Linked DNA regions of Cricetulus griseus. The protein of the gene in region 4 interacts with the protein of the main gene of each other region in a pairwise test. Links are inferred from orthologs where the notes say so. Each region holds a gene or a part of one and is shown on either strand. Other genes may lie near its edges.

Region 1 (4,192 bases), on a different chromosome or scaffold from region 4:
CTCCTACCTTCCTTCCTGCATCCCCTGCTCCTTCTTAAGAATCACCCTGCACCTCTGGTTTCTGCAGAACTAAATCCTACTTGCTCTTACTTCCTTTCTAGTACCAAGTAGCTTGAGAAAGAAAACAATGGGTTGCCTGTCAGAAACGTGCACATGAAACACCTCTGCCAATTTCCTTCAGCCTGTGCCTCATTGGCTAAGAAGCCATGGCAGGCCTGCCTTTCTCACAGAGGTGGGAGTAACAGCTATGGTTGCTGAATGCACCTCTCTAATTACTCTTGCCCCCCACAATCCATTCTTCACACAGGAGTCAAAGTGATGCTTCTAATGTTATCCATCTAGATAATTCTGGGCCAGCGAGAGGGCTCAGCTGGTAAAGGCGACTGCTGACAAGCCTGAATGAGTTCAATCCCTGAGACCTAAACAATCAATAAGAGAACTATTCCCACAAGTTGTCCTCTGATTTCCATGAGCATGCTCGAGTGCACACACACACACTAATACTAAATCAGTAAATGCAAGAATCATTGGGAGGAAATGTAATTTAAAAGCTGTAACTAGTAGCTTAGAGTATGAATAAGAGCCTCCCACCTCCCTCTATCCTCCAACTGCCCAGTTTACTCTTCTAGGTTTAACCTCCCAGGATGTCTGTACTTTAAATGAACTTCATAATGTCGCTCAAGCCACAGTTGTAGTGTCTCCATCTTTCCTGAACTCCTAACGAAAGATAGTCCTCTTGAACTTAGTTGCCACACATCTGTCTTCATAGCCCTGGTGGCCTCTTGGAAGTAATTTCACCTGCCAATTGCCTCTCTCGACCCTAAGACACTACACACTCAAAACTTTCCTGTGTTGAGTTCTGTGCTGTAGTCTCCAGTTTGGAAAATAGTGTCCAGTACACAGGGGGCAATCCCATTATTCGCTGAATGACACACTGGGCATGCTAATGCGGGCCTGTAATCCCAGAACTCGGAAGGCTAAGGCAGGTTGAGCGAGCGTCTATATAAAAAATAATTAGGGCTGGGGATGTGGCTCAATTGGTAGAATGCCCATTGAGAATGCACAAAGGTCTGAGCACCACGTAAAATCGAGCTTGATCGGGCACGCCTGTAATTCCCTGCACTCCAAAGCAGACTGGAGGATCAAGAGTTCAAGGCCATCCTTCAGCGAGTTCTACGTGACACCCTGTCTCAAAAATGAAATCGCTGAGTGAATGGACGAATACACTGGCTGCTCGTCTAAAGACCAAACGCGTCCCTCCCAGCCATGCTCCGCGTTCCGGTCCGTGCCACCCTCACCGTCAGCAGCCATGGCGCCCCTAAGCCTCGGAGAAAAGCCGCCCACGGTTCGACGCGCGCACGACAACTTCCGGCGCTGGTGAGTGACGTAAGCCTCAAGCTGGCGGCAACGGAAATGATGCGTGAAGAGCGCGACACACTGTCAACCTGTGGCTTGCTGCCGGCGCGGTTGCGGGCTGCGGGAGGGAGCGATGGAGGACCACGGTGAGTGGGTGGCCGGAGCGGCGGGGACACACGGGTAGTCCGGGCTCGATCCGCTTCCTGCTGTCACTGCTCTTTGTGCCGTGGTCTGGGCCTCTCGGACGCTCGCAAACTGACTTCCCCACACGCTGTCCGAGCGTCCACTTCCAAAGTAACAGTGTGCAGGCCTCCGCAGCTCTGGTGTCCAGAAGGAAGACGCGTTTCCCTACTGGAAGATAGAAGGCATCTTTGGTTTGCTTGCCCATCATGGTTCTCAGAATGTTTTTGTTAAGTGAAAAAGCAAACGAATACACTGATTTTAACGAAAAAGTGAAGTAGGTAGAACTGTAAGCATTTTTACAATTGTGTTTATGCACATGAGTTAACGATTGTAGACTGCTCAAAGGCCTGCAGGAGAAAATAATAACGGGGCTGTGAGGATTCCCTAGACTACTAGCCCCTGGACTTGGTCTCTAAGTTCTCTGCCTTGCACACCAATAGCTTGTTTAAAATATGAAAGAGGTCTGTCCCTGCCAACAGTACGGAATCTTCTCTATCCCCGTCATTGTTTAATGTGCCCTGTAACTTTAAAAGCTACTTTAAAAAAAAAAACCTTTTTGCTTCTTATTCTTGAGGTCAGCAGTTGTTACAAAGTGCCCTAGCCTCATCTTGCTAAGTTCTTGTGATAACCCATTTTTTTCCTCTCTTCCTAGAGTTAATTGAATACTTCAAGTCTCAGATGAAAGGCGATCCTAACATGGCCTCAGCTGTAGCTGCCATCCGCACTTTGCTGGAGTTCTTGAAGAGAGACAAAGGTATAAAGAGTCAGCCTTGAATGGTCTGGGCCTTAGGACAGTCTTCAGATGACTTGTAGGAACGTGGACAGGGAGACATGCATGTTTGCCTACAGTCTCAAGCTCAGCTTCTGTCTCCATGTTCGCCCTTTCAGTCTGGAGGGAGCCCTCAGGCTGTCACTTAAAGGATTCCCATCCACCTACAAAATACACTGGGAGTCAAGAGTCAACAATACAGCCCTAGCCAAAAGGCTTAAATTATAGCAGTAATTTAGCTTTATAGATGAGAACCAAGCTCCTAGCTTGACCTAGATTCTGTGCAAATGCCATAGAGAATGTTCAGAACAATTCTGGTGTTTCTGGGCTATAGTGGTGCCTCACTTCATCATTGCAGGGGAGACACTCCAGGGCCTGAGAGCGAATCTCACCAGTGCCATAGAAACCCTATGTAGTGTGGACTCCTCCGTGGCCGTGTCGTCTGGTGGAGAGCTCTTCCTTCGATTCATCAGTCTTACCTCCCTGGAGTACTCTGTAAGCCCCCCCCCCCCCCCGGAGGCCCTTCTACTTCTCTGTCTACAGATCCTGTCAGCTTTCCTGGGATCTCCCCCCTTCATTTTGCTCTTTTCTCCCCAGGATTACTCCAAATGTAAGAAGATCATGATTGAGAGAGGGGAGCTTTTCCTCAGGAGAATATCCTTGTCAAGGAACAAAATTGCGGACCTATGCCATACCTTCATCAAAGATGGGGCGGTGAGTAGATGGCCCCCTTGTGCTGATAGAATCAAAAGCTTTGGAGTCAGGGTGCTGGGCCTGAAATCCTGACTGTGCCACCATGGACAAGACACTTCTCTGTCCTGCAGTTTTCTTGTCTGTTAATAAGGACAACAGCAGCTGACAGGTTTGGTGAGGCACAAATGAGATGCAAAGTGTAGGCAGTGCTCTGTAAACACAGGTACTATAGAGGCCAGTTACCATGAATAGGAGAAGAACATGGGACCAACATAGATGAGTCTTGAGTTTAATTTTTTTTCCGTTTTGTGGAGGTGGAGATGAAAACAAGGGCCTCAAGCATGCTAGACATGCTGTACCACTGGACTATAACCATAGCTTCTTCCTTAGTAAGCTATTTTTCTAAGAAGTATTTTTAATTACATTTATTTCTTTATTAGGTGTTTGTGTGGGTATGCACAGGTGCCACAGTGAGTGTGTGGAGGTCAGAGGAGTTGGCTCTGGGGATCAAACTTGGGTCATTGGGGTTATGTTAATGACAAATACCTTTACTGACAGAGCCATTTCACCACTCTAAAGAAGTGTTTTTATAGCCAGGCAGTGGTGGCACACACCTTTAATCCCAGCACTTAGGAGATAGAGGCAGGTGGATCTCCGGGAGTTTGAGGATCAAAGCTCCACCAAGAAAGCCTGTCTCAGAAAACCAAAAAGAAAAAAGAAAAAAAAAAAAAAGATGTTTTTATGATTGGGTTTGTAGTTAGTCCTCTAATCTGAAATGAGTCTGACCAGACCAGCTATTACCATGGTCATTGTCATGCATTTGAGCCAATATCAGCACTGGGTGGAGCTGTGACCTATCCCTAGTCAAGTGAGGAATGGCAGGTTCAGCCAGTCTTCAACTTGTCCACTCCACCGGGTAATAAAGCCTTCATGTTTTCTGAGCCAAAAGCACAGCCTTCCCCCACCTCAGCCTCCGCAAACCGTGCCTATATTTCTTGCATTATGGTTCTTAGATGTTGCCCTTGGCGTTACTGCATTTCCCACCTTTGAAGTATGCTGTTAAATATGTGACTTACTGGGAGGTGGAGTTGGGTTTGTGTTAATGGCAGTGTCAGACAGACCTGGGCCAAGTGGAGGCACAACCATGATACTACTCTGCTCAGTGTGTGGCCGTGGTGTGGGTTTCTCGCC
Region 2 (4,060 bases), on a different chromosome or scaffold from region 4:
TAGACCAGGTTGGTCTTGAACTCACAGAGATCCACCTACCTCTGCCTCCCAAGTGCTGGGACTAAAGGTGTGTACCACTACTGCCTAGCTACAGCTTTACATTTCAGAAAGTTCTGGAGTCATTTCAATTTTCTAATTTCAATTAATTTGTGTGACTCATACATAATCCTTTGTACTTTCTGGACCATAATCATGTAAAGTGAAGAGCTTGGATAACAAGTGCATGACCCATTCCAACTGCCCATCTCTAAATCCATCCTATAATTTATGTTAATAAATACAAGGACGTATGCGCCAGTCTTTCCGTTTGTATGTACACTTGTATGTGTGCCTGAGTGTATGAATGTGTACCACATGTGTGCTGGAGCCTGCAGAGATCACAAGAGGCATCAGATCCCCGGGAACTGGGAAAACTATACAGTGATGAGCCACCACCTGTAGGTGCTAGGAACCAAATGAACCATCTCTCCACCCCCATGCCCTGATCTTTCTTACACACAGGCATTTTAATCAGGAGGTTGGAAAATTCAGGATCTTTGATGTTGGTGATGGTGGTAGGGGCTCAGTATCAAACAGCCAGGTCTCTTGGAGCATAATGGTTCATATGTGCTGAAAGGACAATGTATACATGGGATGACTGTCACTCCCAGAGCACTGCAGGATATATATATATATATATATATATATATATATATATATGTGTGTGTGTGTGTGTGTGTGTGTGTGTGTGTGTGTGTGTGTGTGCAAATCTAGCTTTTAGAGTCAAAGCTATCAGTGATTCCAGTAAGAACAGTGTTTTGTTTGTAGGTTTTGCTCCCTTTGTCCTTTGAATAGTATTATACAAGTAGGGGGCCCCCTACTTTGGAAAGCAGGGCTGTCCTGTGTCCAACCCTTAGATGTGGGTTTTTATTTGCTATCATCATTTGTGTACTGTTGTGCTCGGTATATGTGCTGTGTCTACAAATGGTCAACAACAGATCCTGCTCTCAACACCGGAGGAAGAGGCATTTGAGCAGCTGTGCAGTGAAAGCAAGGACAAATCAATCAGCCAAACCCTGGAAAGGCACTGCAGCCAGATGTTCAGCTGTAGCATCAAGCCTGGGGGAAGAGGGTGAAGGTGAGAGGCCAGCATATGCTAGCCTGAGAAGGGCTGCTGCTCAGCTAAGACTTGCTACAGGTCCAACAGGGGTGCGGCATGTCTAAATCCATTGGGTTGCCCACCCCCACGGCTTGGATGGAATCTGAGACCTCACACACACACAAGGTGTGTGCCGAGCTACACCTGGCCCACTGCAGCATTCTCTTCTAAACTGAGGACATTTATGACAGCCATGATGGGCCTTACCAAAGGGCAGCGGAAGAGGAGAGGAGCCTGGTGACAGCTCTAGTTGGTAAATAGAGAAAAACATGACCAGTGAATCCTGTGAAGAGCCTAACATTACTTCTTCATGGAAGTTTTCTCTCCCCAGGCATGACCTGCTCTTTTTGACCCTGGCCACTCTGAACACTGAGTCCTGACAGTCACTCTTAACTCATTGCCCAACCCCTTAAGACTCCAGGCTTCACGATGGTAAGTTTTTGTCACTTACTCATGACTGTCTTAGTAACTTGCTTAGTGTGTGAAGCTAGCAGACATGCAATAAGTATTTCTTTCTCTCTGTGATTACTTTTTCTCATCTATCTATCTATCTATCTATCTATCTATCTATCTATCTCCTATCTACGTTTTAGCAGTGCCAGGGATGGGACATGTGGCCTCATACATGCTAAGCAGAGTTCTACCATTGAGCTCTACACCTAGCCCCAGATTATTTTGTGACTAAAATGTTTCTTGCATCAAAAACAAAAGTCACATTGAAAGCATGATCAGAGAAGGGAAGACGGGGGAAACATAATTTTCCCTCTGGTGGATCCCTGTAAGTGAAAGCCTGAGGCTAGCGAGGAGGGCTTCACCCAGGCCCTGTCATGTGCTGGATCTATTTCATGCTGGCCCTTGACTTCCTAATCTATGCCGTGAGGTAAACAGACAAAAATTCTTCTAAGCCCAGTATTCTGTGTTTGAAAAGGTAGTCTTTGTTCTGCTCCTCTTTCCCTGGCTTCCCTGTCTCAGAAATCTGTGGTCACAGGCAAACATCTCATGATTTAGCCCGAGAAATGGAAGCAGTCTCAATACATTTAGGCCGAGAAAGAATCTCTGCACATTCTAGAACTGGTTCTGGGGAAGGGATGGCCATTTTATTGATGAATTAGGGATCCAATTACTTTCATGAAAAGCAGAAAGAGAGAAAGTGAGAGAGAACCAGCCCTGCCTGCTGTCTCTTGGACTTGACCCTGTCCTTCCCTTTCCACACTTGCAGTCAGAGCCCAGCAGGCCTTTGCCAGGATCCTTCCCCCGGTGCCCATGTGCACAGCTGTGCTTGGGGAGGTGCTGAGTGGGAGGACTTCTCTGAGGGCAAACTCTAGCCAGCTACAAAACCAGTACACTACTCACCGGAGGTCTCTTCCAGACAAACTGGATGGGGAACTTCTGGCTATAAAAGAGAGAGGTCTCGTCTGGTGGGAACTCAGGATCCAGATAAAGAACTTTCTTCTCCAGACACTTTTTGTGGAGCTGCTCAAACGTCTTCTCTTTCACTCCGATAATTGGAAAATTGCGGCTGATGATAGCTGAATAGATGCCACTTGGGTGTCCACCTCCAGCCTCGGTGGTCTTCCCTTGGGCTGGGTGAGGACCAGGTCCTGGGGACCTGGGCTCAGCTCCTGTCCTTGGGGCCACCGTTGCACTAATGACGGTCGGCATGGCAGGCAACTTTGGAAGGAAGATGTTTTCAAAGAAAACAAGATTCAGCTACCTTCAAGGGAAGGAAGCTATCGCAAAGCGGAAGTTAAAGCGACCCTCTCATCTGAGAGTAAATGGGCAGATTCACTTCAAAGTTTAAATCCTATCAGAAAGCTGGCTGGCTTATGACCAGCTTAAATAGCAGAGCTGTGATCCTGAAGCCATAGGCGTTCCTCAAGAAGAGACACTAAAGGGTTTCAAAGCGGTTTCTACCTGGGGGCTCCTACCAGCAGCATGCTTGCCAGAGGGAGAGAAAGAGAGTGAGGGTTGTGTTTCAGTAGCCTGAGGAAGCTTAAGCCAGGAAAACTAAAAATAGACATGAAGTGAAATGGTGAGCATGAGATCAAAGGCCAGCGAATGGCTAGACTGGGTGGGAGAGAAGGACCTCGCTGGGTATTTCTACACTGACATTAAGCACTTTTGTTGTCAAAAAAGGAGAGCATCTGAGACAGGTGAACACCAGAAATCAGAGAACTGTGCTGAGGACTAGGCAGCCATACAGGCTACCGATGCAGTTGCCACCGGATGGATGCACAGGAAGCAGTATTTGAAGAGCTAGCTGGAATCCAAGCCACGAGAGCTCTCAGGGCATAGTCCATATGTTTTAGAGAACGTGATTTTTACTTTATAAAATGTTAGTCTGTCAAATGTCACTTAATATTAGAGTATCTTTTCTAGAATGTTCTGGAGTCAGTTTTCAGTTCAACTGGGTAGAAAATGCTACTCAGCAGAATTTTCAGTCAAGGAAATCCCTCTCTTCCCAGGCACTGGACTTAGACACCCCCTGCCTCTTCCTACCCCCAAATACACACTGAGATCAAGACTACTACAAAATGTGTATCCTAGAAGATTATTTGTGTAGCCACACCACATCAGTATCTAGACAGAAGCTGGAAACAGATACTGAGCCAGGTTGGTGTCAAGTCCAAGGATGCCATGTCTAGACTCGGCTTCAGGGCTTTTAAATGAGAATGAAAGCAGCCGGGGAAGGGGATTGCTTGCTGGGATTCCACCTGTTTTTTACCCATGTTAGTTGCCCTCCATGTCACAATAAGATGGATACATCTGAAGTCTGGCTGAGTAGAGACTTGCCTCAGCTTGCAGCTGTGCCTATTCCTAAGTGACCAGCTTAATAGATCCAGGTTTAGAAGACATGGGAAAGGGTAGGAAGTGACAGCTGAGTGCCACATAAGTGTGAGGATCTGAGTTCCCAGTAAAACT
Region 3 (3,500 bases), on a different chromosome or scaffold from region 4:
TTGTTTTTTACAGATGGTTGTGAATCACCCTGTGGCTGCTGGGAATTGAACTCAGGACCTCTGGAAGAGTAACCACTGAGCCATCTCTCCAGTCTTCTAATACAAAATTTTAAAAATTAAGAATAAAACAAATAGAGCAACAACCAGGTAAGCAAAAGAACTCTAGGTCTCTGGAGCAGACATTGTGAAAGTAGAAAGTGCTGGGAGTGGTATTTCCTTCCTGTTCTCTGAGCCAGTGCGCTAGGTCTCCTGTGTCCTGGCCCTTAGTGGGTACCTTGACCAGTGGCCACTGGTTGGGCTGGTTGAGCAGCTTCACAATGGCCGGGATGCCATAGTTGAGGCGCACAGAGTTCTGGGCCATCTCAGCCTCCGGGTGGCGGCTGGTAAGGTGACGCAGGGCACAGACAGCAGGCTCTGTGATGTCATCCTTGTCACCGGCTCTCAGGATGGCGTGGATGAGTGCCTCGACGCCACTGTTCTGTGTCACCAGCGTCTTGTTTTTGCTGTTGTTGCAGGTCAGGTTGGAGAGGGTGCCTGTGGCACAGGTGAGGACGTTGACATCGTCCACACTCAGCTGGTTGACCAGGATCTTCAGCACGCTCTCCAGGCCCTCCTGAGACAGGAAGAGCATGAAGCGTAAGGAACACGTCATCTCTACACAGCCTCCCCAGTAGGTCTGAGGGCAGCGGATAGGCTGAAGGGCTTGGTCTTGCTTTTATGTGGCCAGGAACCTTCACCCCATGGCCTTCCACGCCCTGGGGAAAGCTGTTAGCCTCTCCTGGAGATCTTCCCACAGACCCACAGCTGCAGGCCTGCCTCCAAGCCCATGGTCCTTCCTCTATCCCATGTGCTCCATCCCTGCTGGCCATAGGAGGCCTCTGGTCAAGAGGAAGCTAGCAAGGAGGTCATAGGCTTCAGTGGTCAGCTGGTCCCCTGTCGCATACTTCTCACCTGGCTGGGTCTTCTCTGTCACACCAGGGATCCCTAAGCTAAATCTGCTTCTGAGAAAAATCCCCAACTCAGAAACCTCTCTTCTCCCAGGGAGGGCTGTGTGGGTCTAGTGGTGGATCCAAAAGACTATCGGTCTCAGAGATACACACAGTCATGGGTCAGGACGCAAGCTCTGCCATCTAATAGCTCTCAACATGGGCTTTCTCTTAACTCCCTGAGCCTTAGTTTCTCCCACAACCAATGGGGTTGCAGGATCCCCTTCTAGGGAGCTAAGAGGGTTAAAGTCAGTTCAGCTCCTGCCTACAGAAGCCATGCAGAATGAAGGGTGCTTGCTAGGTGGTGGTGATGGGTAAACACATGGATACAGTCTGCTTGGAAGGTGGTGCCAGCAACTTGCCCTGAATCAGCAGTGCTCTGAGGTTAGTGTTTTGTGTGTGTTAGTATTTTGTGAGGTTAGTGTTTTGACTGCCTGTATATCTGTGCACCATGTGTGTATGCCTAGCGCTCTCAAAAGCTATAAGAGGACATCAGATGCCCTGGAACTAGAGATACAGACAAATGCTCTTAACCACTGAGCCCCTGTACTTGAGTTTTATGGAACAGTACTGCTCCTGTCCCAGGGTCAAGGCTCAAATTGTCCCATCACCATCACCTGAACCCCAACTTAAAGATGTCAGCCTCCTTCCTCTTCTCATAGGTCCCCGAGGTCATATGCCCAGGTGGTAGGCTGACAATATGGTTTCAGAGAATGGCCCGGGCCCAGACTTACCTGCTTGGTAGCCACATCTGAGAGGTTGCGTAGAGTCCACAGGCAGTTCTGCACCAGGCGCGGGCTGTTGCTTGTGAGATGCTTGCCCAGAGCCTGCATCCCACCTGGGGATGGGACAGAGGTCCTGTCAGCCTTAGGGGGGCCAGATTGCTGCCAGGGCAGGGGCCCTACCCCAATCCTCCTGACCCCACAGGTCACTCCTCTATAATTTTACTTTTAAAGGGTTATTATTATTATTATTATTATTATTATTATTATTATTCGTGTGTGTGTCTGTGTGTCTGTGTGTCTGTGTGTCTGTGTAATGTGATGTGCAATGCCCATGGAGGCCAGAAGAGGGCATCAGATCCCTTGAATTTGAGCTACAGGTAGTTGTGAGTCACCGAATGTGGTTACTGGGAACCAAACTGAGGTCCTCTGGAAAAGTAGCAAGAGCTCTTAAGCTATGGTCACCTCTCTAGTCCCCAACAGGCCACCTTGAGGTTCTCACTCACCAGCCTCCACAATGGCGGGCTTATTGCTGGGACACACAGAGAGCACCTTGAGCACACGGCTGGTGGTCCAGAGCAGTTTCTCATAGCTGTAGTTCCTCATGATCTGCACAAGCCCCTGAGGTCCCCCATTGGCCAGGATGATCAGCTGTGGGGAGGGAAAGGCAGAGTGTAGGATAACAGGCTCACACACCTATGTGTTCACGTGTGTGAGGGGGTGATGGAGCTCTCATTATTAACCTTTTAAGACTTTGGTGACTATCAAATAAGCCAATATCTTGGGGAAAAAAACTATTAATACCAAATGCTGGCAAGGATCTAGCAAAGGGAGTCTAGCACAGCATTGTCACTAAAGGCAGTGTAATGGGTAACACGATGTAACCCTTTTGGAAAGAGAACAAACACACTGAGTAAAAGTCTAGAAGTGTTTAGAAACAAATAAATAAAAAGAAAAAGGCCTTTAGCCCTGCTGGCTCTGGTGTTCCACACCTCTAATCCAGCAGTTAGAAGACTACAAGGAGAGTTAGGGTTCCAGGTCACCCTGGGATAGATAGTGAGACCCTGTGTAAAACACACAGAGAGGGCTGGAGAGATGGCTCAGCTGTTAGCAGCACTCGCTGCTTTTCCAGAGAGTCTAGGTTTGATTCCCAGCATTCGCATGGCGACTTAAAACGATCTGTAATGCCAGCTCTAGGAATGCAGCACCCTCTTCTGGCCGCCATGGGTACTGCAAGCCATCTCTCCACCCCAATCCCCCAGCCTTTTTCAATTCTAGGGATTGAATCATTCAGCATGCTAGGCAGTATTCTATCACTGAGTTATATCCCTAGCCCTAATTTTTTCTCAAACCTTAAAATATTAGTTCTGAGGAATTCAGAAACAGGATATGAGACACATTCATCTATATACACATTAGTATGCCTTCCGGGAAGTGGCCTGAAGCCACTGGATACTGTAGCCATGGTGAAGGGACCCACCTTGCTCTCCTGGTTGCCATAGGCCAGGAGCTGCAGGCAGTCAGTGGTGATGGCCAGGAATTTAGGGTTGTTCTTGTTGAGTAGGGGTACCATCTTCTGCAGCCCATCTGCCAGGCGCACCGCCATCTTGGCGCCCTCCTGGTACAGCAGCAGGTTGTGCAGCGTGGTAATGGCATAGAACAGGACAGACTCTACAGGAGAACTGAGGAGTAGGCAGAATCCATGTTGAGTCAGCTCCCCAGACCCCAGTCAGAAAGCTCACCCCCAATCATCACCCCTATGCAAATATCCCTTTACTAAAGTGTCATTCTT
Region 4 (4,230 bases):
TGGCACAGAGCCTCTTTTGAAGCCAATATTCAAGCTGAAGCCGAAGCAATAAATTGGTAACAGACACAAACACATGTTTATTTTATTTTAAGGACTTATGGGTTTTGGAAGGCAGCTACATTCACCAATATACCACCAGCACAGCACTTTATGGGTTTTGGAACTGAGGTTGAGAGTCTGTGGGTGGCCTAGGCCTATAAACCAATCTTAAGAAGTACAGTTTCTTTCTCTGTCTCTCTCACTCTCTCTTTGTAGGTAAGTTCCCTGAGCAGTTACACATGTTCATTACAAACACAGGCAACTAGGAAATCTAAAGAGACGGTTCTCTATGTCCTTCAATCACTGTGCATAAACACTGTTTTGACAATGTTGGTGTCTTTCCTTCTGCAAATAAATACAATTAATACAGAATGCTACCCAGACTCTTTAATTTTTTTTTCTTTTGAGAAAAATTCTTATGTAGTTCAGGCTGGCTTTGTATTCAAAGCCATCCTCACACCTCAGTCTCCCGCATGCAGGGATTACCCAGCACCACACCTGGCTAGAACTTGTGCACTCACTAGATCAGTCTATCTTTCTATATATAAACACATGCATATATAAGTACTCGAAAATTGAAAGAAATTAAACAACAATATGGTGAGATTTGGGTGCAACCCCTCGGTTAGTTTTTTTTTTTTTCCTCTTTCTAGGTTCCTGCTCTGAAACTTCAGCTTTCAAACCCAAGCATCTCTTTCTTTCTATATAAAAGGTTGCATATATAAATAGCCAAAATTGAAAGAAATTAAACAACATTGTGGTGAGATTTGGGTGCAACCCCTCGGTTAGTAGTTTTTTTTCCTGCTCTGAAACTTCAGCTTTCATGCCCAAGCATCTCTTTCTTCCTATATAAAAGGTTGCACAGATAAATACCCCAAAGTGGAAGAAATTAAACAACACTATGGTGGGATTTGGGTGCAACCCCTCGGCTAGTTTTTTCCTGCTGTGAAACTTCAGCGTTCACGCCCAAGCATCTCTTATTTTAGAGCGGGCTGGCAGCCTCAGCGATGGATGAAGGGGGTCAGGAAGCTCACACCTGACCGTCCAACACCACCAGGCCTCCCACCCCCCACCCGATGGCGACCAGGTCCACGCAGCGCAGCGCGAGCGCCCCAGCTTGGCCGGGGGAGGCCTCTCCGTGGACCCCACCCTGCCTCCCACCTCGTAAAGCCGGGCGAGCAGCACACAGATCTATCTCCTCCGCAGCCTGGGACTCGCCGCCCGCAGCAGCAGCTCCCGCAGCCCCGCCCCGCCCCCAGCCCGGGCTCCACCCACTCCAGAGACCCCGCCCACCCGGAACCACGCACACACACAAACACCGGGCTCCGCCCCCATGGCGCGCTGAGCCCCGCCCACCGGCTCTAAGCCCTTCCCCCCGGAAACGGCGCCTGGCGGGCGGTCCGGGCCGTGTGCGCTCCGCCCGGGGCGAGTGTGTGCTGTGCCGCCGCTGCCGCCGCTGCCGCCGGCGGGTCGGGTGCCTGTCCCTCGGGCCTCCATGGAGGGCGACGGCCCCGTCGCCTCGGTCCCGCAGTACCAGCCGGCCTGCCCTGCGCGGGACGCGTGTGTCTACAGCAGCTGCTACTGGTGAGCGCGCGGGCGCGGGCGCGGGCGCGGGGCCCCCGGGGCGCCGCCAAATGCTTCCCCGTCCCGGCGCTCTCCGGAGCGCTGCGGGCCCGCACCGTCCGCGGGAGGAGGGGGCGAGCGCACCCCTGCTCCCCGGAGCTGAGCGGAGGCGTCCCCAGTGCCTGGGGACAGACTGAGGTCCCCGTGGTTTCAGATCCAAGTGCAGGGCGTTTTTCATCTTGAAGACAACGGAGACCCAGAGTTTGTTTTTTGGTTTTTTTTTTTTTTGCAGATTTTTTATTTGAATTAGAAACAAGATTGTTTTACATGTCAATCCCAGTTCCTTCTCCCTCCCCTCCTCCCCTACCACCCCCCCAACTAAAACCCTACTTATCACATATCCTTTTTTCTGTTCTTCCCCTGACTCAACTTTTCTGCTCCCTCATGACCTCTGCATCCCTCCTCTTCTTCCCTTCTCATTCTCATAGCTCCTTTCCCTCCTTTTCCCATGCTCTCAATTTGCTCAGGGGATCTTGACTCTTTCCCCTTCTCCAGGGGACAATGAATGTCTCTCTTAGGGTTCTCCTCGTTTCCTAGCTTCTCTGGCAGTGTGGATTGTAGGCTGGTAATCCTTTACTCTATGTCTAAAATCCACATATGAGTGAGTACATACCACGTTTGTCGTTTTGTGATTGGGTTACCTCACTCAGAATGGTTGGACAGAGGGTTCTTTTTTAAATTTTTAATGTTAATCATTTTTTTATTTGAATTAGAAACAAGATTGTTTTACATGACAATCCCAGTTCCCTTCTCCCTCCCTTCCCCCCCACTACCCCCAACTAAAACCCTACCTATCACATGTCCTTTCTTCTATTCTTCCCCTGACTCAACCTTTCTGCTCCCTCATGACCTCTGCATCCTTCCTTTTCTTCCCTTCTCTTTCTCGTAGCTCCCCCCCCCTTCCCATGTTCTCAATTTACTCAGGGGATCATGACCCTTTCCCCTTCTCCAGGGGACCATGTATGTGACCCAGAGTTTGAGGTGGCGGGAAATCCAGTCAGGCAGCAGACAGCGCTGTCCTGATCATCACAGCACTGTGGTGATCATGGTGGTGGTAATGGTTGCATTTGCACCGTCCTCGTCCTTGTCCTCACCAGATGCCAAGCGTGATCTTAGGTGCTTTGTGTAAATGGACTTGGTTGAACGCCACAGCAACCCCCAAGAGGCAGGTACTGTTGCAGTCAGAACCTTGAGGGGGCTGGAGAGATGGCGCATTGGCTAAGAGCACTGGCTGCTCTTCCAGAGGACCCGGTTCAGTTCCCAGCACCCACGTGGCAGCTCACACCTGTCTGTAATTCCAGTTCCAGGGGCTCTGATGCCAGTGTGCATAAAATAAAGTTAAATATATTATTTTAAAATTAAAAAAAAAAGAACTCTGAGGCGCACAAGGTACGGGATGGCTGTTACTCAGGGCCTCAGGTTGTGAGGCTACTTGTCCTAGGCTGCCGCTCGCCGCTCACCTTGGCTTTTTCATCTCCACACCTTTTCTCTTGTGTAGGGACTTCTTCCCCAACCCAGGAGAAACCTCAGGGTCATCCAAATCTACTCCTCCCCCCTTCACCCGGCCACTCAATCAATGACACTACGAACTTAACGTTTATTCATCTGTCACCTTGGTAGCCCAAGTCCAAGTGCCCCGAGTGGTTCTCAGCCTTCCTAATGCTGCCACCGTTTGGTACATTTCCTGATGCTGTGGTGACCCCCAACCATAAAAGTATTCCGTTGCTACTGTAATTTTGCTACTGTTACGAATCATAATGTAAATATCTGATAGACGACCCCAAGGGCTCGTGACCCACAGGCAATGCCTTGGAGACAGGTTCTATGATCATTATCACCAGGACAAGTTGAGGGATCATCTGTGAGCTTGAAAAACCTGTCCATCTTAGGGTTTTACCCGGAGTGTGGATGTACAGGAAGTAGAGTGGGGGGTGGGAGGGTTAGAAGGATGCTTTGCTCGTCTCTCATTTCATTTATTTGTTTGTTCATTTATTTATTTATAATGTGTATGGGTGTTTTGCCTGTGTATCTGCCCATGCACTGAATGTATAACTGGTATCCAAGGAGGCTAGTGGGCTGAGTCTTTGGGAGGAGCAGCCAGTGCTCTTAACTGCTGAGTCATCTCTCCAAACTGCCCCCCCCCCCACCCCCAAGACAGGATCTCACTGTCTGTCCTAAAGCTTGCTACGTAAACCAGGCTGGCCACCAACTCACAGAGCTATGCCCACCCCCACCTCCTGAGTGCCGGGATTAAAGGCCTGGGCTACCATGCCAGGCTTGCTGATCCTATTTTGTGGGATACTCTTAGAGATAGGGAACAAAGTCCATCTGAGTATCAGTGGCTGTCTGGTTTATTTGTTCAAGGCCTGTGTTTTTCCAACCTCATTTTGAACTTACCTTCTCTGGCCTGTTGCAGGGTTCTCAGCTTTGGCTCTGTTGGCATTTTGAGTATCAAGCCTTTGTTCCATGAGTTTTAGGGTAGGTAATTACGTTTCCTGGCCTGTATCAGACAGATGCTATTGCCAGGTTCCCACACCCCCCAAGTTGTGACAGGTAAACACTTCTCTA
Region 5 (3,500 bases), on a different chromosome or scaffold from region 4:
GGCATCTCCGAGTACCTTGCCTTTGACCATCTCTCAGGCTGCCCTGGGGTTTTTTAGAGGAGGTACATTATTCGGGAGTGGTGTTTCACATCCCTTGCTTGAATGATGGTTCACCTGGGTGAGTTAGCTTTCTCTACCATAAGGTCATTTTTCTACTCTTTAATAACACAGTTAAACTCAAATTGTTAAAATTTTCCTTTCTTATAATTTTACGACTATATCTTATTGAAAATAGCACATTTGAATTTGATCTTTTTAGGGCAAAAGTATTAAACCTTTGAACCTACTACATTGTGCATGCTTGGCAGTGCACTACCACAGAGCTATACCTCTAGCCACATTTTATCTTAACCATCCCCCACCTCAATAGTCTCTTTCTCTTTAATGAAAGCCTGAAAGAGTATAATATGAAAATCTCAGTGTCTGAAGGTCTCAGTCCCAAGACAGGGACAGATAAAAAAAAAATTTTTAAAAAAAAGCTCTGACTTGCTCCACATGGCCTTTCCTGACCTCCATGTTTGAAGCTGTCCCCATGACTGCCTGTATCCTGACCTATCACTGTAATACCTACTGGCCTGTCTGCCCTCCTGGGTATATCCCTAGGAGACACAGTTGTGCCCTGCTATGACCCTAAAGCTGTAATATATGATATACAATTGTTAGTTACTCCTATGACAAGTAAGAACTTGACCTATGTAGGTTAATCCCAAGAACCTGGCTGAAGAAAGTCTGGTTTTGCTAATCACCTATTTATGATGCATAGATAAAGTTGGTTATACATCTTGGAGGTACACTCTCTAAATTCATTGCAGCTAGCACAGGTGTGAGCCTGGAATCCCTCCGGAGGGACCCAGTGTTCCCTGTATACCATAGACACTGGTTCTTGGCTTCTTGTGCCACAGCCCTTTCTTGGTTCTCCCTAGACTCTCTGAAACTCTGTGTGATGTGCCTTGGAAAAGGCTGTCCATCCCAGAGAGACTTTGGGAACTCTGCCTCTCTTGGTAAGAGATGGTGTCACTGGCCACAGCTACTTTCCAGGAAGCCTCTGCCTGTGAGAACCTGGCTCTGGACTGAGTGACCCCAGAAGTGCAGAGGGGCATGCTGCTGAGTAGTTACCAGTTTACCCCTCACAGACCATGATCCTTACCTGACAGTGGTTTCTGTTTTTGTTTGTTTGTTTGTTTTTGTTTTTGTTTTTGTTTTTAAGTTAGAGGAGAGCAATGGGAACATCATTAGACCAACTGCTCAGGAGTGGCCCACACAGAACTCTGGGCTATATCCTTGGTTGGTTCCAAACTTCTGACTAGTCTGTATTTTCTGGAAACACAGAAATAGGGAGTTAGTAAGAGCCAGACTAAGGGATCCAAGGACTTTTGCTTGCTTGCTTTATTTTTTTGACACAGGATCTTGATGTATAGCTGTCCTGGAACTCACCATGTAGCCCAGATTGGCTTTGAACTCACAGTACTCCCCTGCCTTAGTCTCTTAGGTACTGGGATTGCAGGAGTGAGCCATTATAACAGCCTTTTTCAGGGACCTTGAAAAGAGCAGCCAGACCCCTCGAAGACAGGTGCTGTGAGCTGAAAAACCTGCAGAAACTGGAGGCCTATGTGATGCATATCAGTGGGAGCCCACAGCTAGGTAGGATAGGCAGTAGTGTGTGCAATGGAGGTAGTCAGGGCCACAGAACCTGGTTACCCAGCAGCTCTTAGTAAATTTACTTTATTAGAGTTCACATTTGTGACATTGGTACTTCTTTGAAAGTATGTGGCAGAGACCTGTGCATGATCTTAGGTACGTGGGTGGTCAGATGGTTTGGTGCTCAGGCCCTTCCTCCCGTGGGCTTTTCAGCCTGCGGAGCTTCATCTGCTGTTGTTTAATTGTGAGCATTTCCTCTATGTAACCCTCAGACCTGTACCCACTGGGCAACAAGCAGTTCTGCCTTCTGTTGGGGCACCCTGGTTGAAGCAATAGTTGCTTGCTCCCAAGGCTGCCCTCACTGGTCCTTGGCCCTCCTATCTTGGACCCCAGGCAGGTATGCCATTTCCAACTCGTGTTTTCTTTCTGGGAAGCCCTGGTTCAGCATGTATTCCTGTGGTCTCCCTCTGTTGTAGGTTTCAGTTGTCATCTCATAAGAATATGAACCTTAGCCAGGGCCACTATTAGGAGTTTTAGATAACCTTTCCTTTTGCTCTCCTATTTTTCTTGAAAAACTGTATTTTCTAAGAGCCCACCAGGTCACCCTCCAGCCCTGTTTGCCAGCCTTTTCAGTGACTGAGATATGTCCTAAACCTTCCAAGGGTTTTGTCTTGAGCATCCTCTGAATAAGAAGGTATGCATCTTCAGGGGAAGCAAGCTCAAATGAAGACAGGCTGGAAACTCTTGTGGGTGAAAAAGCAGGCCAAGCACTCTCTAGGCCTTGGTGAGGGGAGGGTGAGCTGGACTGGGCCTGAGTAAACACTGGTCCAAGGGAAGTAGGCTAGTACTGTGAGATTGTTGGCTACATGCTTTGACTTTATTCTGTTTTTGTTTTGTTTTGTTTTGTTTTTATCTTCACTGAAAGGTGTACATTGGTGAACTCCCCCAGGACTTCCTCCGTATAACACCCACACAGCAGCAGCAGCAGATCCAGCTGGATGCCCAGGCAGCCCAGCAGCTGCAGTATGGAGGAGCAGTTGGCACTGTGGGCCGCCTCAGCATTACTGTAGTACAGGTGGGTCTCAGTTTCCTGTTGAAGACTGATGGGGCTGTGCTTGAGTGTGGGAATGAAGATTTCAGCCTTTGCAAATCATTTACCATGTAGACAAGTAGAACTTTGTTGATTCTAGTTATTCCTGAAAATATCCCTGAAAAAATCAGTAGATCCTTGTTGGTTTCCCAGGGATCTGACTAAGATACCTACAGTCACTATTGGTCCATGCTAGGTAGTGTCCTCCATGAGGATGGTTTCTCTAACCCCTTTGTAGCAGCTGGGTTGTACAACTGCCCTGCAAACCATGGTTCCTGATTAATCTAAACTCCATTCTGAGGCCTAGGATGTGCACAGTTCAGGGCACAGTTAGATTAGAGATTTTGTCTAAGTTGCCTGCTGCCAGGTGTGGCCGGGTTCCCAGAGTTGTGTGAGTTTAGCAGTGACTGGCACCATGCTCAGGAGCCAGTTACTGATAAGGTTAGGTGAACTTGAAGGCTGTTTTTTCATGCTCTAGGAAATACCTGCGAGGTAAGTAGTTTAGGTAAGAACTTGCCTTCCTCTCTGCTGGTGGGTGCCTCATTTTTCTAAACTTGTTATTTCAGGCAAAATTAGCAAAGAATTACGGCATGACTCGAATGGACCCTTATTGCCGTCTTCGTCTGGGCTATGCTGTTTATGAAACTCCCACAGCACATAATGGTGCCAAGAACCCTCGCTGGAATAAGGTCATCCAGTGCACGGTGCCCCCAGGTGTGGACTCGTTCTACCTTGAGATCTTCGATGAGGTGAGGGATGTCCCAGTGTCACA
Region 6 (3,500 bases), on a different chromosome or scaffold from region 4:
AAGGCCTTGAGCTGGCCCACCTGCTGTGCAGTGAGAGGGTGCTCCCACATGGCGGTGTTCATGGCAGGGCAGAAGAGTAGGGGCTTGCTGAGGTCCCAGGCCCGGATGACACAGGTCTGTGAAGAAGTGGGAGAGAGGTGTTGATGCTCTGCCTACCACTCCTCTTCAGTACCCCCAAGTCACAGCAAAACAGTTGACTAGGGATGGCTGGGTGTCACACATCTACAAAGATATGTTTTTGCATCCTTAAAGGGAGAGGGGCTGACTCTTCAGCCCACATCATCTCCCCTCAGGCTCTGGCATGGTCCTAGACACAGGGGATACTCAATCAGCACCCATGATGCCCCAGATACCACCAACAGATCTCCACTCTGAATGCAATCTCCCTGCCTAAGCCTTCACATGGGCTCACAACTGCAGGGCTGGGAAGCAATCCCAGGGGGCAGGAGGCTAGTTTCACTATCACTGGAAGGCTAGGAACCAGATTGTTCATGTTCTACTCAGCAACAGCTCTACTCCTAGGCCAAATAGACTCTGAGAATGAAAACATCCAACACATGATACCTTTTCTCAGCCATTATCTCAACTCCCTTACCGTAACCCTATAAAAGTACTGCCCCTTGTTCACAGACGAGCAAGCTGCAACTCCCTAACAAATAAACAGTTATCCAAGGTCACTCTTAGATACACACATGGTCCTGTGCAACCACCCATTGGACTACTGTCTCCCCACCTCCCAAAGCTAGACTACACCCAAGTCACACAGCAGAGCAGCTATGAAAGAACTTGACCAATTCAGATCCATCCTCCCTCCCTCCCTTTCTCCCCCTCCCTCCCTTCCTATTTTCCAACTCAGAGTCTTAAGGTTGTAAACGCTGAACTCATATAAGCTTGAGATCAAACCATAGTTGAATGCTAGGTAGGATGGCATATGCCTGTAATCCCAGTCCTCTGGAGACAGAGGAATCTCAAGTTCAGGACATGTAACAGGTATATATATATATATATATATATATATATATATATATATATATATATTAAAGAAATATAATATATAATGTATTAAAGAAAGAACTGCCAGGCAGTAGTGGCTCATGCCTTTAATCCCAGCACTTGGGAGGCAGAGGCAGGTGGATCTCTGAGTTTGAGGCCAGCCTGGTCTACAGAGCAAATTCCAGGACATCCAGGACTACACAGAGAAACTCTGTCTAAAAAGGAAGAAAGGAAGGAAGAAGGAAGAAAGGAGGGAGGAAGGGAGACAGGAAAGGAAGGGGAGGGGAGGGGAGGGGAGGGGAGGGGAAGAAAGGAAGAAAGAAAGAAAGAAAGAAAGAAAGAAAGAAAGAAAGAAAGAAAGAAAGAGAAAGAAGAAAAGGAAAGAAAAGGGCAACCTGGGCATGCTAGCATACTCCTTTAATCCTAGCCCCAGGGAGGCAGAGGCATGCTGATCTCTCTGAGTTTGAAGCCAACCTGGTCCACACAGCAAGTTCAGGACAGCACTACATAGACCCTGTCTCAAAAAACAAAATAAATAAAAATAAGAAAGAATATGAATACGTTTGATGGTGATGTGGTATGGTGGTTTTTTGAGGCAGTCTTGTGTAGTCTAGGTTGGCCTGAACTGCCTATGTAACAGACGACCTTGAACTCTTGGTCCCCTGCTTACCTAGTTGGTGGAATTAGAGGTGGGTGACCCAAATCAAAGTTCTTAGCTGAGACCCTAGCACTAAGTACAGGCTCCACACACAGGCTCCTCCATTACCCCAGGCACAGGTTCAGGAGCCAGGGACCACCTCCCAGAGAAATAGGCTCCTATGCTCAGATTACACCGGGCACCTCCTCCCGAAAGCTCCTGGGGAGACAGCAACTGTGACACCCCTCCCCAGAAATAGAGTCCTTTCAGGACAGGAGAAGGGAGCAGAGAGCAATGCAACACATAGGTCAGAGCCAGTGCCTGCCTGTCCCTCAGTGCCATTACCCTCTCCTGGGACAGCAAACAGCCTCAGAATCTGGCTGCTTGCGTCATTCCAGACACCAGAGTTGGTTTCCCACCAACTCCTCTCAGCAGGACAACCTGGCTATTAGTGGACAATTTCAGTCACACTTCCCCTTGGCTCTGTGCCACCTGCTACTTTTGCAGAAGTTGTGAGCAAGCCTAGAAGGGCCTTGATGTCTGGTGTAGGGCAGGCTGGGTTGGGTTCTAAACACTCTCAAAGCACAGCACCGGGACCACAGCAAACACCCAACTGTCTGCCCTCGGCATGGCTGCTTCCCCAGTGCTGACTTGGAGCTCAGCACTTCCAGAACAAACCACAGCTCCTCTGAAGCAACCAGCAGTAGGAAGGGGAGAGAAAGAACACTGGTTCCCACAGCCAAGGGGCTGGCACTGTGCTCAGTGTCTCAGCCTGGCCCCTGGGAACCCACTCAGGCAGGGCAGAAGGCTGGATCCTAGTCAAGAGACTAGCACTGAGCCAGACTGTAACCCTGGGGAGTCACCCCCTCTTTCTGGACCTGACAGTTTAGCACAGAGGCGAGGCCAGAGCAGACGGAGACAGACATTTCCAGGCTGTGGGCCTGGAGACAAGGAATGCAGGACAACACACAGCTGCTCTCCAGCACCTTTCTGATGCTGGAGACAGGATGGTCTGGAAAGAGGGAGTGGGCTGAGCTTCCCTTCAGGGTTCTAAGACACCCACTGAGCAGAAGGTAGCCCCACAAGGATGCTTACAGTTCAAACTGCAACACCGGAGAACTGTCTGCAACATCTGTGCTCAGGTCAAACTGTTTGAGGAAATGGTTAGTTTGGGGACATGTTCCACTGTTCAGCCAATTCTGGAGAAGAGAACCTCAAAGATAGGGAGTGTGGCAGCCTGGGGGGAAAAAAGCCAAGCTCTTAGGCCCTGCCTGCAATCCCATCACTTGGGAAGGGAAAGCAAGAGGATCAGGATTTCAAGGCCATTGGGCTATGAGATTATATTTGTTTTATATGTGTGGATGTTTTGACTGCATGTATGTCTGTGTATCACATGTGTGCCTGCTGCCCATGAAGGCCTATGGTGATAGAGTGTTTATGATTTATTAAAGCTTGCCTGAGGATTCAGAAAAGCAAAGTCTGTCTCAAGCTATAGAGATTAGGCAGTGGTGATACACATCTTTAATCCCAGCAGCCAGAAGCTAGGAGATGGTGGTACACACCTTTAACCCTAGGACTCAGGATTAAGGTAGATGGATCTCCGTGAGTCCAAGGCCACCCAGATCTACACAAGATTGATCCAGTTCTAAAGAGAAACAGCTCACACAAAGATGATCTCAGAACCTTTAATCCCAACATTAGGAAGGTATATAAGACGGGAGCAAGGTCTCAGTATCAGGCATTCATTCTCTAGCCATATTGAGAATAGGAACACCCCAGCCCTGTTAGAGGTAAGAGCTCTTTGGTACCTTGGCTGCTTTGCTTCCCTGATCTTCAGCTTGAGCCCAACATCTGTCTCTGTTGGGCTTTT
Region 7 (3,962 bases), on a different chromosome or scaffold from region 4:
ACACGTTTTCTCTGTATTGTTTTGGAGGTTGTTCTGGAACTTGCTCTGAAGACCAGGCTGGCCTTGAACTCACAGAGATCCGCCTGCCTCTGCCTCCCGAGTGCTGGGATTAAAGGAGTTTGCCACCAATGCCCGGCGCCATATTCTTTTTTTTGTAACGATTTGTTTATTTTTATTTTATTTGCATTTGTGTTCTGTGTCTGCATGTGTATCAGTGTGAGGTTGTTAGATCTTTGGGAACTGGGGTTACCGACAGGTGTGAGCTGCCATGTGGGTTCGGGGAATTGAACCCAGGTCCTTTGGAATAGCAGCCAATGCTCCTAACCAGTGAGCCTTCTATCCAGCCCCCAATGCCATATCTTTATAGGGGTGGGGTTTGTGTGTTTATTTATTTATTTGATTTTTTGAGGCAGGGTTTCTCTGTGTAGTTTTGGAGCCTGGCCGGGAACTCAATTTATAGATCAGGTTTGCCTTGAACTCACAAAGCTCCTCCTGCCTCTGCCTCCCGAGTGCTGGGATTAACGGCATGGGCCACCAAGGCCCGCCTGATTTATAGGGATGTTTTTGCCAGCTGGGATTGACAGGCCTTGCTTGAAGAGAATTTACCCTACCTTTCTGAGCCTTAAGCATTCTCTTTTGTTATCCTGTATACTCAGTAAGATCAAGAAATGAAAGTGTTTGCAGTTTGCCTGGCTACAAAGAAGTAGCAGCAGCAGCATTTTGTTGGTTTTTTTTATATATATATATACAAAATTTAGGCAAGAAAGCATAGTAAGTCTCACAGGAACCTGGAGATGGCATTCTGTCTTTTGCTTTCCTGGGGAGGAGCAAGCAGCAGCTGTGGTGTGTGGTCAGGAGGTACGCAGAAGTCAGAGTGCTGAGTGTTTTCATGGGCTGCATAGTGAATGCATAAGCTGGATGAGCAACATGAGACAGACAAGTCTGTCGTGGTGGATGCGTATCAATAAGGCCAACTTAAATTCACAGCAAAATTAGATTAAGAAAAAAAGAAAACGATGCTTTGCAATATTTATTGTTAAGAAAGAAGCTGGGAAATACGTGTGTGTGTGTGTGCGCGCGCGCGCGCGCCATCACAAAATAGACTCCTCAACCCCTCGGTACCATAGCAACCGCCAGATCCTCTGGAGCTCGCGCATCTCCCGTCGTCATGGATACGGTTGCCACGGCGACACTGACGAGCGGACCGGCCCCGCCCTGCACTGCAGCTGCACGGCGGCGGCCGTTGCGGGAGCGCGCTGCTCTAGACGCTGAGCGGAGCTGCCTCCATCCGGCCTCCCGCCTTCCGCGCCTCCCTGAGGCCTCCGTCCCCGGTGCTCGCCTGCTGCCGCAGCCGCCGGACCCGAGTACCGCCTCTCCCGGCGTCTTCCCAGCCACTGCCTCGCGTGACCCTACGCCCGCGCCTACCGCCGGCCGGCCGGCCCGAGAGCGGCGGGGGGGAGCTGCCACACCCCGCGACCGCACCCGGCCGTCTCCCTCGTGAAGCTGAAGCCCACCGCCTTGCGCCAACCTTGCTTCTCCCCTGCCCGCCGTGAGGCCACGAATAGCTGCGGCCAGCCCGCACCTGCTCGGACCAAAGAGGGCGACATTCGATAGGCAGAGTGCCCCGAGGCACCTGACACTACTGACTTTGGGACCCGGAAGGGACGAGACTGGACTCCGGTGTCACTGGTAATTGTGGTTGCTTGAAGCTTGTCGCCCCCTGGCCTACCCGGGGGAGGGAGGCATGTTGTATTGTCCTAGGTCCTATAGCACTGCGAGCCAGTCCAGTCGGTGTCTGTAGAACTGGCACCCTTAATAGTGGGGCGAAATGGCTTTGACGCTCTTGGAAGACTGGTGCAGGGGAATGGATGTGAACTCTCAGAGAGCTCTGCTGGTCTGGGGGATCCCTGTGAACTGTGATGAGGCTGAAATCGAAGAGACCCTCCAAGCTGCCATGCCCCAAGTGCCCTACCGAGTACTGGGGAGAATGTTCTGGAGGGAAGAAAATGCGAAGGCAGCCTTGTTAGAGCTCACCGGGGAAGTGGATTACTCCCTGATCCCTAGAGAGATGCCAGGCAAAGGAGGGCTCTGGAAAGTGTTCTTTAAGCCCCCCACTTCTGATGCGGAGTTTCTGGAGAGGCTGCACCTCTTTCTAGCTAGGGAAGGGTGGACTGTGCAAGATGTTGCTCGTGTGCTTGGGTTTCAGAACCCTGCTCCCGCTCCAGGCCCAGAAATGCCAGCAGAGATGCTCAATTATATTTTGGATAATGTTATTCAACCTCTTGTTGAGTCCATATGGTATAAGAAGCTGACGCTATTCTCTGGGAGGGACATTCCCGGGCCTGGCGAGGAGACCTTTGATTCCTGGCTGGAGCACTCGAATGAGGTCATAGAAGAATGGCAGGTGTCTGATATAGAAAAGAGACGGCGGTTGATGGAGAGTTTGAGAGGCCCTGCTGCTGATGTCATTCGCATCCTCAAGACCAACAACCCAGCCATAACCACCGCGGAATGCCTGAAGGCTCTTGAGCAGGTGTTTGGGAGCGTGGAGAGCTCTAGAGATACACAGGTCAGATTTCTGAACACTTACCAGAACCCCGGGGAAAAGTTGTCATCTTACGTCATTCGTCTGGAGCCTCTGCTACAAAAGGTAGTGGAAAAGGGGGCCATTGATAAAGATAACGTGAACCAGGCTCGCCTGGAGCAGGTCATCGCCGGGGCCAACCACAGTGGGGCCATCCGAAGGCAATTGTGGCTGACTGGGGCTGCGGAACGACCGGCACCCAACCTCTTCCAGTTGCTGGTGCAGATTCGAGAGGAGGAAGCCAAGGAGGAGGAAGAGGAAGCTGAGGCAGCCCTTTTGCAGCTAGGCCTGGAGGGGCACTTCTGAGTCCCTGGATCAGTCTGGCTGCTTTTGTTATCCCTGTGCGGTTTTACAAGCCTTGCCTCTCATAGTAAAGACCTAGCCTCCTGTTTTTGTTTTGTTTTCTGGGGGATGGGATAGGGGAGTCAGGCCTGCGTATTTGTGTAGCAGTCACAGAATTGCGTGATTGGCCAGGGCTGCAACAGTAGAGGTGGTTCATACTGCCTAAAATGAATGCTTGATGCAAGCCCTCCTAGTGACATCTTTGACAGTTGTGAAAAATGTGAAGCTGAGACACTTCCTGTCAGGATGATTGTGAAAGTGCAAGCCTGCTTCACAGGCTGTATGGTACAGACTGACATTTGTTACTAATATTGTGGATAGTTTTACTGTACATTGTCCCTAATTTATATACATGGGAAGAATATGAGTCTGTTAGATGATACTGCTCATTTTGAAAATTCAGATTTCTCATTCCTCACGGCTCAACATCAGAACCAGTTTACCAGCAAAGTACTCTAGGATTAAAATTGGCAAGTTAGAAAAATGTGATTTTTATGAAGAGGCACAACCTACTTTTCATGGTGTAAGATACAAATATAAGTCAGGGGGAATTTCCATAAACAAGCTACATTTTCCCCACATGAATTATTTGTCATTTAATTATTGGTCATGTTGATGCTAAGTGTTCTAAATTTGAAGTTATCAAATAGATGTATACAAATAAAAATGTGAAAATTCTCATCTTGCTTTTCCTGACATGTATAAAAAATTTTCAGTGTAACTTAGCTCTGCACATTTTTTCTCTGCACATTTTTGCTCATGTCAAAAAATTTTTTAATCTCCTTGCTATGAGCTTAAATTGCAATATCACCTACACATTCTTGTGTTGCCGGTTCCTCGGTTATTGTTTTGTTTCTTTTTCACGGTCCCACTCGATAGCTAGCTGAGGCTGGCTTGGAATTCACTCTGTAGCCCAGGCTGGCCTCAAACTTGTAGCAATCCTCCTGCCTCCAGCCTCCACAGTGCTAGGGTTACAGGTGTGAGCCACCTCACCCAGCTATTTCTTTTAGATACAGTCTCACTATCTAGCTCCGGC

The links.
Region 1: the proteins of protein N-terminal glutamine amidohydrolase (region 4) and Eif2b1 interact in binary tests that used the Homo sapiens proteins (3 or more experiments, as listed by UniProt). The two-hybrid records come from large-scale screens. The link is inferred for Cricetulus griseus from reciprocal best matches to the Homo sapiens genes NTAQ1 and EIF2B1.
Region 2: the proteins of protein N-terminal glutamine amidohydrolase (region 4) and Capn3 interact in binary tests that used the Homo sapiens proteins (3 or more experiments, as listed by UniProt). The two-hybrid records come from large-scale screens. The link is inferred for Cricetulus griseus from reciprocal best matches to the Homo sapiens genes NTAQ1 and CAPN3.
Region 3: the proteins of protein N-terminal glutamine amidohydrolase (region 4) and Jup interact in binary tests that used the Homo sapiens proteins (3 or more experiments, as listed by UniProt). The two-hybrid records come from large-scale screens. The link is inferred for Cricetulus griseus from reciprocal best matches to the Homo sapiens genes NTAQ1 and JUP.
Region 5: the proteins of protein N-terminal glutamine amidohydrolase (region 4) and Tollip interact in binary tests that used the Homo sapiens proteins (3 or more experiments, as listed by UniProt). The two-hybrid records come from large-scale screens. The link is inferred for Cricetulus griseus from reciprocal best matches to the Homo sapiens genes NTAQ1 and TOLLIP.
Region 6: the proteins of protein N-terminal glutamine amidohydrolase (region 4) and Ppcdc interact in binary tests that used the Homo sapiens proteins (3 or more experiments, as listed by UniProt). The two-hybrid records come from large-scale screens. The link is inferred for Cricetulus griseus from reciprocal best matches to the Homo sapiens genes NTAQ1 and PPCDC.
Region 7: the proteins of protein N-terminal glutamine amidohydrolase (region 4) and Pnma1 interact in binary tests that used the Homo sapiens proteins (3 or more experiments, as listed by UniProt). The two-hybrid records come from large-scale screens. The link is inferred for Cricetulus griseus from reciprocal best matches to the Homo sapiens genes NTAQ1 and PNMA1.

What each region holds. Positions count from the first base shown.
Region 1 is NC_048597.1:104,284,476-104,288,667, reverse strand, and holds the start of Eif2b1 (translation initiation factor eIF-2B subunit alpha), read left to right. Parts: upstream 1-1,392; 5' UTR 1,393-1,489; coding exon 1,490-1,502; intron 1,503-2,191; coding exon 2,192-2,293; intron 2,294-2,666; coding exon 2,667-2,803; intron 2,804-2,905; coding exon 2,906-3,022; intron 3,023-4,192. Other genes in the region: Gtf2h3 (general transcription factor IIH subunit 3), read right to left, coding at 1,299-1,311.
Region 2 is NC_048599.1:58,022,642-58,026,701, forward strand, and holds the start of Capn3 (calpain-3), read right to left. Parts: upstream 2,801-4,060; coding exon 2,492-2,800; intron 1-2,491. UniProt on the Homo sapiens protein: Calcium-regulated non-lysosomal thiol-protease. Proteolytically cleaves CTBP1 at 'His-409'. Mediates, with UTP25, the proteasome-independent degradation of p53/TP53.
Region 3 is NC_048600.1:113,438,299-113,441,798, forward strand, and holds part of Jup (junction plakoglobin), read right to left. Parts: intron 3,391-3,500; coding exon 3,189-3,390; intron 2,360-3,188; coding exon 2,215-2,359; intron 1,825-2,214; coding exon 1,721-1,824; intron 614-1,720; coding exon 275-613; intron 1-274. UniProt on the Homo sapiens protein: Common junctional plaque protein. The membrane-associated plaques are architectural elements in an important strategic position to influence the arrangement and function of both the cytoskeleton and the cells within the tissue.
Region 4 is NC_048603.1:29,486,347-29,490,576, reverse strand, and holds the start of protein N-terminal glutamine amidohydrolase, read left to right. Parts: upstream 1-1,430; 5' UTR 1,431-1,534; coding exon 1,535-1,623; intron 1,624-4,230. UniProt on the Homo sapiens protein: Mediates the side-chain deamidation of N-terminal glutamine residues to glutamate, an important step in N-end rule pathway of protein degradation.
Region 5 is NC_048596.1:59,291,283-59,294,782, forward strand, and holds part of Tollip (toll-interacting protein), read left to right. Parts: intron 1-2,563; coding exon 2,564-2,713; intron 2,714-3,294; coding exon 3,295-3,477; intron 3,478-3,500. UniProt on the Homo sapiens protein: Component of the signaling pathway of IL-1 and Toll-like receptors. Inhibits cell activation by microbial products. Recruits IRAK1 to the IL-1 receptor complex. Inhibits IRAK1 phosphorylation and kinase activity.
Region 6 is NC_048597.1:169,043,918-169,047,417, forward strand, and holds part of Ppcdc (phosphopantothenoylcysteine decarboxylase), read right to left. Parts: intron 117-3,500; coding exon 1-116. UniProt on the Homo sapiens protein: Catalyzes the decarboxylation of the cysteine moiety of 4-phosphopantothenoylcysteine to form 4'-phosphopantotheine and this reaction forms part of the biosynthesis of coenzyme A.
Region 7 is NC_048598.1:119,613,726-119,617,687, forward strand, and holds Pnma1 (paraneoplastic antigen Ma1), read left to right. Parts: upstream 1-1,162; 5' UTR 1,163-1,828; coding exon 1,829-2,890; 3' UTR 2,891-3,617; downstream 3,618-3,962.